Linked DNA regions of Macaca mulatta. The protein of the gene in region 1 purifies or fractionates together with the protein of each later gene. This does not show direct contact. Links are inferred from orthologs where the notes say so. Each region holds a gene or a part of one and is shown on either strand. Other genes may lie near its edges.

Region 1 (4,293 bases):
AGCATTATAAATTATATTATGCAACTTTTACAAAGGAGAAAACTGAGGCCGGGCAGTGGTGGTAGTTATATACATTGAGATCACAAAGCTAAACTCACACTCAAGCAGTTTAGGATAGCATAGAATCTTTTTTTTTTTTTTTTTTTTTTTTGAGACGGAGTCTGGCTCTGTCGCCCGGGCTAGAGTGCAGTGGCCGGATCTCAGCTCACTGCAAGCTCCGCCCCCCGGGTTTACGCCATTCTCCTGCCTCAGCCTCCCGAGTAGCTAGGACTACAGGCGCCCGCTGCCTCGCCCGGCTAGTTTTTTTTGTATTTTTTAGTAGAGACGGGGTTTCACCGTGTTCGCCAGGATGGTCTCGATCTCCTGACCTCGTGATCCGCCCGTCTCGGCCTCCCAAAGTGCTGGGATTACAGGCTTGAGCCACCGCGCCCGGCCAGGATAGCATAGAGTCTTAACCACTGGAGCATATCCTAAAAAAAAAGAAAGAAGGAAAAAGAAAACTAAGAGAGAAAAAGTGTCCAATCAGTTCTCTAATCCCCAAAGGAAATGCTGACCACTGCATATTACCAACCTCAATTACACTGTCAGGAATCTGGCTTTAAGTCACCAAATGCTTAGTTCACTAAGAAAGTCCTTCCTAGGAACTAAGTCAGCAACCATTTCTTTCCTTCCCTTTGCTGAAGGCTTGATGCACAAAGGACGCAAGTATCCAACTCTATTCTCTTCCTTTTACTTTCCCTAACTGCCTGTCACCAAGATCTGTCAGTTCTACACAGGACCCTTGGATCTGACATTTTTGCCCATTTCTCTGTCAAACGTGAGCATCTACTACATGTCAGACACACTGCTAGGTAGTGGAGATAAAACAGTAAGGGTAACACTGTCCTTGAATCAGGACAATCTTCCAACTATAGATCTTGGGTCCTGCTTCTCCCAAATCTGTTCTACCTGGGACAGCCACAACTGCCTGTCTCTTACCGCACCACACCCCGGCTAAAACAACTAAACACTACAACAGAATGTGGTAGACTTGGGGCTCATCTATTAACTCGTGCTTTTTAAAGCAAGTTATTTCTCTCTAGGATTGTTTCTCTTCTACTAAACGAGGAAGGTAAACTAAGGATCTAAGAAGTCAATTTTAAAATTCTCAGACAAATGTTAGAGACCACCCAATGAAAATATCTCCTAATCACTTAAGGCCAACTTCATCTCGCAATCACAGTCCAGTTCAGTCCAACCTACTTGCTATAAAGTTGCATATTTGGGCATATTACATGTTCCCACTAAGTTCTTATTAGGGGACTGATTTGCTTAGGAAGCAACATGGTGCAGTCAAAAACTCAGAGGCTGCAAACTAGCAGCACCCTCCCCAATCCATCCATCGAAAGGTTCTGCCTGGCTGGCATAGTGACTTGAGATTGCTGGGTCTGAATGCCTTTACACAGAGCACTACTATAGTGCACCAAAGTCCCAGTCTCCAACACTTCTACTGTCTCATGTCAAGTCAGCTTCTCTCGTATATGTTACCTACTTGGCCCCTTAAGGTTTGAAATCAGATTAGTGTAGACACTACTCCTATATGCCCCAATAGTGCGCTATTCTCCCTTAGTTGGAAATTTTTAAGTGAATGAAAAGCCGTATTTCATTTCTTCTGGCTGAATTTCCTACTTCTCTGTATTATTAAATAGGTCTTTTCCACTCATGATCCTAAGCATCACACACAGGTAAGCATCCAAAAGTCAAACTGCCATCCTACCTGCCCCATTTTTACTTGAGTTTGGCTGAGAACATTCTCTATTCACCTCTTCATCCCTCCCCGATTAGTTTAGGCTAATCGTGGGTTCTACTTAGGCAATATTGCCTACCAAAGCTGTTCCCAGAGGGAGAGCTCCATAAGTCCTAGCTGTAAATCAATCGCTCAACCATGGTAAACTCCTATCCCGCTTGGCAGTTCTTTCTCCAGACCTAGACCATCTTTCCTGAGTTCCCTACTCACTCCTTCCTCCTCGTAATCCAACACTCTGTACACCTTAAGTGCTTAAATGCTGAACTGCATTGCTACTTTTGTTTGTATCTCTCAAAAAACAGTATTTCCATTCTTATTTTTTTTCTGCCCTCCTTTTCTAATAACTGGAGTTCTGTGCTCGGCTCAGACTTGCTTATAAGTCTGGAAAAACTGCGCCAATGCGGTTGCTTCAGAGACCGGACTAAAGGCACAGCAAGAGCTTAATGAAAAGTTGCTGAATTGAACGGGCTTCTTCCGGCTCCGAAGCCTGCCACCCTATACTTGCTTTCTCGCTCCGCCCGCGCCCAGAAGCACTCAAACACGCTGAGAACCGAGCAGGCTTCTCGAGCCTAGGTTTCTGCATGACTGGGCCAGGGTCTCGTTTCCTCTTTGCACTGCTCCCTAACCTCCTAATTCAGCAAGGAGCACAAGTCACACAGAACCTCTCGGACCCACTGTGGGCCGAGTTTCCAGACAAGTCCTCTCGCCCCAAACGCGACCGCACTCTCACCCGGACCCCCCGGCGGCTCGCCGTGCGGCTGGGGCCCGGGGGCGCCGCCGTCCAGGATGGCGAAGGCCTCGTCGTTCTCGATGCCCGCAATTTCGCTCTCCTGCTGCGCCAAGAAGGCCGCGGCCGGGTCTTCTTCGCCGGCGCCGGCCACTCCGTTCCCCAGCGCGGGACCGCCAGGGGCGCCAGCAGGGGCGCCGAATGGATCCAGCTCAGCCATGGCGGGTAATTCAACGGCACGGACACCAACGGTGAGAGAAAAATCAACCGACCCACCGACACCACACCCGGCAGCCACCGCTGTGGTGCCGACTGGGAGAGGAGGACAAGCGGGAGGAGGGAGAAGGGGGAAGCGGAAGCCCTACCAGTGTATCCGGTCGGTCTAGGCGGTGTTGGAGACCAAAAAAGGAACAACCAATCAGAGGACAGCAATGGTTCAGGAGCTACCCAATCAGCAAGTGGAGGGGCGGGCCCCCGAAAACAACTCGTGACTGGGGTAGCGCGGGAGGTGAAGGAGGTGAGCTGCACGGGCCCCGGGAGGCGGAAGTGCTGCCTGACAGGGAACGTCCTACCGTCCCGGCCTGCTGGAGCTGGACTGACCAGGGACGGCCACCCCTGAGGGGACTCGAGTGCTGTACTGGGAGGTGAGGTGAAGTTAGGCGGCGACGATTGGCCGATTACTAAAGAGGCATGCCACTTAGGCTTTCTGAACCTCAGTTTCCTCATTCTTAAAATGGAAACAAGAACCCTGCTCTTGCCCCCCTCCCGGGATTGTTAGAAGATTGAATCCTTAAAAAACGAAGAAGAAGAAGAAGATTGAATCCTTTTATGTGTTTGCCCTGGCTTTATAAATTTAAAATATTTAACTCTTTCAGCCAGCCTGGATTATTTGCTCCCTTAGAGCCCACAGATTTACTGTAATTGATTCAGTCCACTCCGATTTTTCTCGCCCATAAGTATTTTTATTTAAAAATGAATATATCTTATTTTCTTCAACGAAGCACTTTTGCAGCCATTACGTCTTTTCAGAGCTAGACAGAAGTTACTAAACCTGGAAAATTCCTTAAGGATCACTTGCTTCAAAGGGAAACACGGTGGCCCTGCTGTTCAAGGGGCGTCAGTCACCCAGGGAGTCAGTGACCAAGAGGAAACGCCTGTCTCCTGGGGACTTCCAAGATACTAGCTACAGTCTCTTGTGTTTACACCTTTCCTCGCTAAGGACAGCAGGAAAAAGAAAGTTCAGTGTTTCTTTTTAAATCGGGGAGATGTTAATAGCTACATGGCTGATTTTGTCTACACCGTAGAAATAACAGTGATTCCAGTTAATCATGCTCATGTTGAGGGGGTGCGCTGATGCAGGGGCCACCAGAAGACCTCCTTCACTACCACCACCACCTCCCTAAGAAATGAAAAGCCAAAAAAAGAAACCAAAAAACCAGCCAGAGGTCAACAAGAAGCTTCCAGAGATAGCAGGGGACAAGAAAGTTTTTTTTTTTTTAAAAAAACGCACATATCTTTGATGACAAAAAAAGGGATAGTTATGAAGGAAAAATGAAGCAAATAAAAACTATTTAAAGCCTATGTTTACTTAAAGCATAATTTTAAAGTCATTTAAAGTACGAGCTATAGGAAAGTATTGAAGAAAAACATTTAAGAAAGTTAAAATGTTAGGGTCTGCAATTGATTCTGTTTCCCCTGTCTGTTGTTTTGTGCTCATCCCTAACATACATTTTCAACAGTGCATGAAGTATTTTCACATTAGCCTTGACATAGTCTCATG
Region 2 (3,649 bases), on another chromosome or scaffold:
GGTTAAATATCAAGTATCAGCTGCTTTGTTAGTCAAGATTCTGCAGAGACAGAATCAGTAGCGTAGCTCTAGCTATATGAGAGGGAGCCTGGGCAACATAATGAGACCCCATCTCTACCAAAAAATTTTTAAAACTTAGCCAGGCGTGGTGGTGCACACCTGTGGTCCCAGCTACTCAGGAGGCCGAGATGGGAGGATCGCTTGAGCCTTGAAGGTTGAGGCTGCAGTGAGTGGTGACCTTGTCACTGCTTTAGCCTAGGCAATAGAGTGAGACCCCATCTCAGATATATGAGGGAGAATTGGCTCATGATTATGGAGGCTGAGAAGTCCTGTGATAGACTGTCTGCAAGCTAGAGGAGACGTTGGATTCCGGTAGCGTGGCTCAATCTAAGTTTGAAAGTCTCAGAACCAGGGAGGCCGATGGCGTAACTCTCAGTCTGAGGCCAATGGCCTGAGAACCCTGGGGGGCCTTTGGGGTAAGTCCTGGAGTCCAAAGGCTGGGAAGCCTGGAGTTCTGATGTCCAGAGGTAGGAGGAGGAGAAAGTCCCAGCTCCAGGAGAAAGAGAGAAGAAATCTGTTCTTTCCTTTTTTGTGCCCCCAGCTGATTGGATGGTGCTCCCTGACATTGAGAGTGGATCATTCCTACTTGGTCCCCCAACTCACATGCCAGTCTTCTCTGGGAACGCCCTCACAAACACACCCAGAAGGAATGCTTTACCTGCTCTCTATGTGTTCCTTAATCCAGTCAAACTGACACCTAAAGCTAAGCATCACAGCTGCCTCTAGGATGTGATTAAGTAATGTATGATTACTGCTTGGATCACTTGAGAGGATTCTGGGGGTTCATATGTTATAAAAGTCACTCCCTTTCATATACTTCGGTAAAATACCTCACTGATAGGTGTGATGTAGGTGATATGATTTCACAAGATTATCAATAAATTAATGGCCATAAATTACGTGAATTGTGTTGTTGTTGTTGTTGAGATGAGGTCTCTGTGTTACCCAGAATAGTCTTAACTCCTGGGCTCAAGGAATACATGCATCCACCTCAGCCTCCTGAGTAGCTGGGACTCTAGGCACACGCCACCACACCTGGCTCTATGTGAATTGTGATGACATAAGAAAATGCAAAGGGGCCAGGAGCAGTGGCTCACGCCTGTAGTCCCAGCACTTTGGGAGGCCAAGGCGGGCGGATCACCTGTCAGGAGTTCGACACCAGCCTGACCAACACGGTGAAACCCTGTCTCTACTAAAAATACAAAAATTAGCTGGGTGTAGTGACAGGTGCCTGTAATCTCAACCACTTGGGAAGCTGAGGCAGGAGAATCGCTTGAACCCAGGAGGTGGAGGACGGAGGTTGGAGTGAGCTGAGATTGTGCCTTCGCACTCCAACCTGGGTGACAGAGTGAGACTCCATCTCAAAAACAAAACAAAACAAAAAACAAAGGAAGGAACTAATTGTTGAATTTCTAAATGAGATAATGAGATAATATTTCAGGAACTATTTCAATACGAAAATGAAACACTATGAATGAAAACACACTGAGTGAAAATGTGGCTTGGATATGTTTCAGATTGTGGACATTTTCATGGAAAACAGTTTAATTCAGCAGTGTACTTCCTTCTTATTGGATGCCTTGAAGAATAATCGCCCAGCTGAGGGACTCCTCCAGACATGGCTGTTGGAGATGAACCTTGTTCATGCACCCCAGGTCAGTGACATTGTAGGCTAACACCGAGAGGCAGAGCACCTGTGGCACCCCTCTGTGGGTTTGCAGACTTGAGCACAGTGGCTTTGGACTGGACTGGGCTTGTGCCAGATGTTTATCTTGTACTTCTCAGTGAACATTCTCCATGACTCCCCTTAAAAGAATTTTCCAGAAATCATGGTATAGGACTTTCATGGAAACAGTTATAATTGGGGCATCATATTTTTCTTTCTTCTTTTTTTCATTGTGGTAAAATATACATAACCAAATTTACCATTTTAACAACTTTTAAGTGTCTGATACAGTGGCATTAAGAACATTCACAATACTGTGCAACCATTACCACTATATGGTTCCAGAACTTTTTATTATCCCAGAGTAACTATGTAACTGTTAAGCAGTGACTCCTCATTTCCCAGCCCCTGACAACTGCCATTCTAATCTGTCTCTATTAATTTGCCTTTTCAAGATATTTCATATACATGGAACCACAAAATGTTTGTCCTTTTACCTGGCTTTTTTCACTTAGCGTATTATTTTCAAGGTTCATCCACGTTGTAGCATATGTTAGAAACACCTCCATTTTAAAAACTGAGTAATTGTCCACCATGTGTATATATGACTTGTGTTTATCCATTCATCCATTGATGAACATTTGGGTTGCTTCTACCTTTAGGCTATTGTGAATAATGCTGCTGTTCACATGGGTGTACAAAGATTTCTTTGAGACCCTGCTTTAACTCTTTTGGGCATATACCTAGAAGTGGATTTGCTGGATCATATTGTATTCTATGCTTACCTTTTTGATGAGCCACCATACTGTATTCCAGGAGGCTGCACCATTTTATATTCTTCCCAGCAATGCTCAGCAGTTCCAACTTCTGTATATCCTTGCCAACACATTTTCCCTGTCTAAAATAATAATAGTAATCATCTTAATGGGTGTGCAGTGGTATTGTGGTGAGGCATCATTTGTTGGCCTGAAACTTGTGGGAGGAAGGTATAATCAAATCACATGTCTGTGCTATTTTGGGTTAAATTTAGATATATATACAAGAAAGGGATTTAGAGGAGTTTGTATCAAGCTGTTCACGGTACTAAGTGGATAAGATTGTACAAGTTCACTTTGTTCTTTACTTCTCTCTTCTTTTTTGTTTTTTCTTTAATAATCACTTATTGTTTTTATAATTATAAAACAACATATTAAGTATATTGTTCTGTTACCTCAATTTATTCAAATCCACAGGTTAGCTGCTAAGAAGTGGGTCATATTCCAACTATAGGAAATTAAAGTGCTGTTAATTTGCTGCTTGGGGTCTATTGGACTCTCATGACTTTGTGAGTGTATGTAATAGTTTTTGGTGAATGAGATTTGAAACACACCAAGCGCCACTCAGAAACCTGGCAGACACCCAAAGGAATGCCCAGACCTTAAGGGGTGCAGGACAAGCAAGTAGTTGGGTGAGGTGCCAGCAGGCTCTGGCTTAGTGCCCCAGGATGCTGGCAGTCTTCTCTGGGCAGTGGGACTGCATGATGGTTTCTAAGTTCTCTAAAATACACTGTTGCTATGATGAGAAAATGTTTAAAAACAAGAAGTAAAGATAAACCTGAAGGAAACAAAGGATAGGAGACTCAGGTAAGTGCTAGGTGTTCTAAAGCCCTACTCTTAGTACTTGGTTTGGATCATCAACTCTATGGGGAACCAGAAGTGTGCATCACTCTGAAGTCGTCTGGTGTGTGACAGGGGCTGTGGTCACTCAGTTTGGCCATACCTGGTTGGTGATGCAGATCCTTGAAGGAATAAGAAAGAGTGTGCTGGGTGGCAGGGAAGGCACCCAGGAGCGTAGCTAGTCAAGACCAGCATTAGATACTGAGCGAGCACTCATTCAGCCATGCTGCAAGGCTACTGTGTTGACCTATCCAGTCTTAGTCCAAAA

What was found. The genes of interacting proteins can lie anywhere in the genome.
Region 2: the proteins of CLTA (region 1) and CLTCL1 purify together in Homo sapiens (co-immunoprecipitation; 3 studies listed by BioGRID and IntAct, with this or other methods). This does not show direct contact. The link is inferred for Macaca mulatta from reciprocal best matches to the Homo sapiens genes CLTA and CLTCL1.

Annotation. Positions count from the first base shown.
Region 1 is NC_133420.1:63,449,120-63,453,412, forward strand, and holds the start of CLTA (clathrin light chain A), read right to left. Parts: upstream 2,828-4,293; 5' UTR 2,734-2,827; coding exon 2,517-2,733; intron 1-2,516. UniProt on the Homo sapiens protein: Clathrin is the major protein of the polyhedral coat of coated pits and vesicles.
Region 2 is NC_133415.1:33,476,203-33,479,851, forward strand, and holds part of CLTCL1 (clathrin heavy chain 2), read left to right. Parts: intron 1-1,577; coding exon 1,578-1,715; intron 1,716-3,649. UniProt on the Homo sapiens protein: Clathrin is the major protein of the polyhedral coat of coated pits and vesicles. Two different adapter protein complexes link the clathrin lattice either to the plasma membrane or to the trans-Golgi network.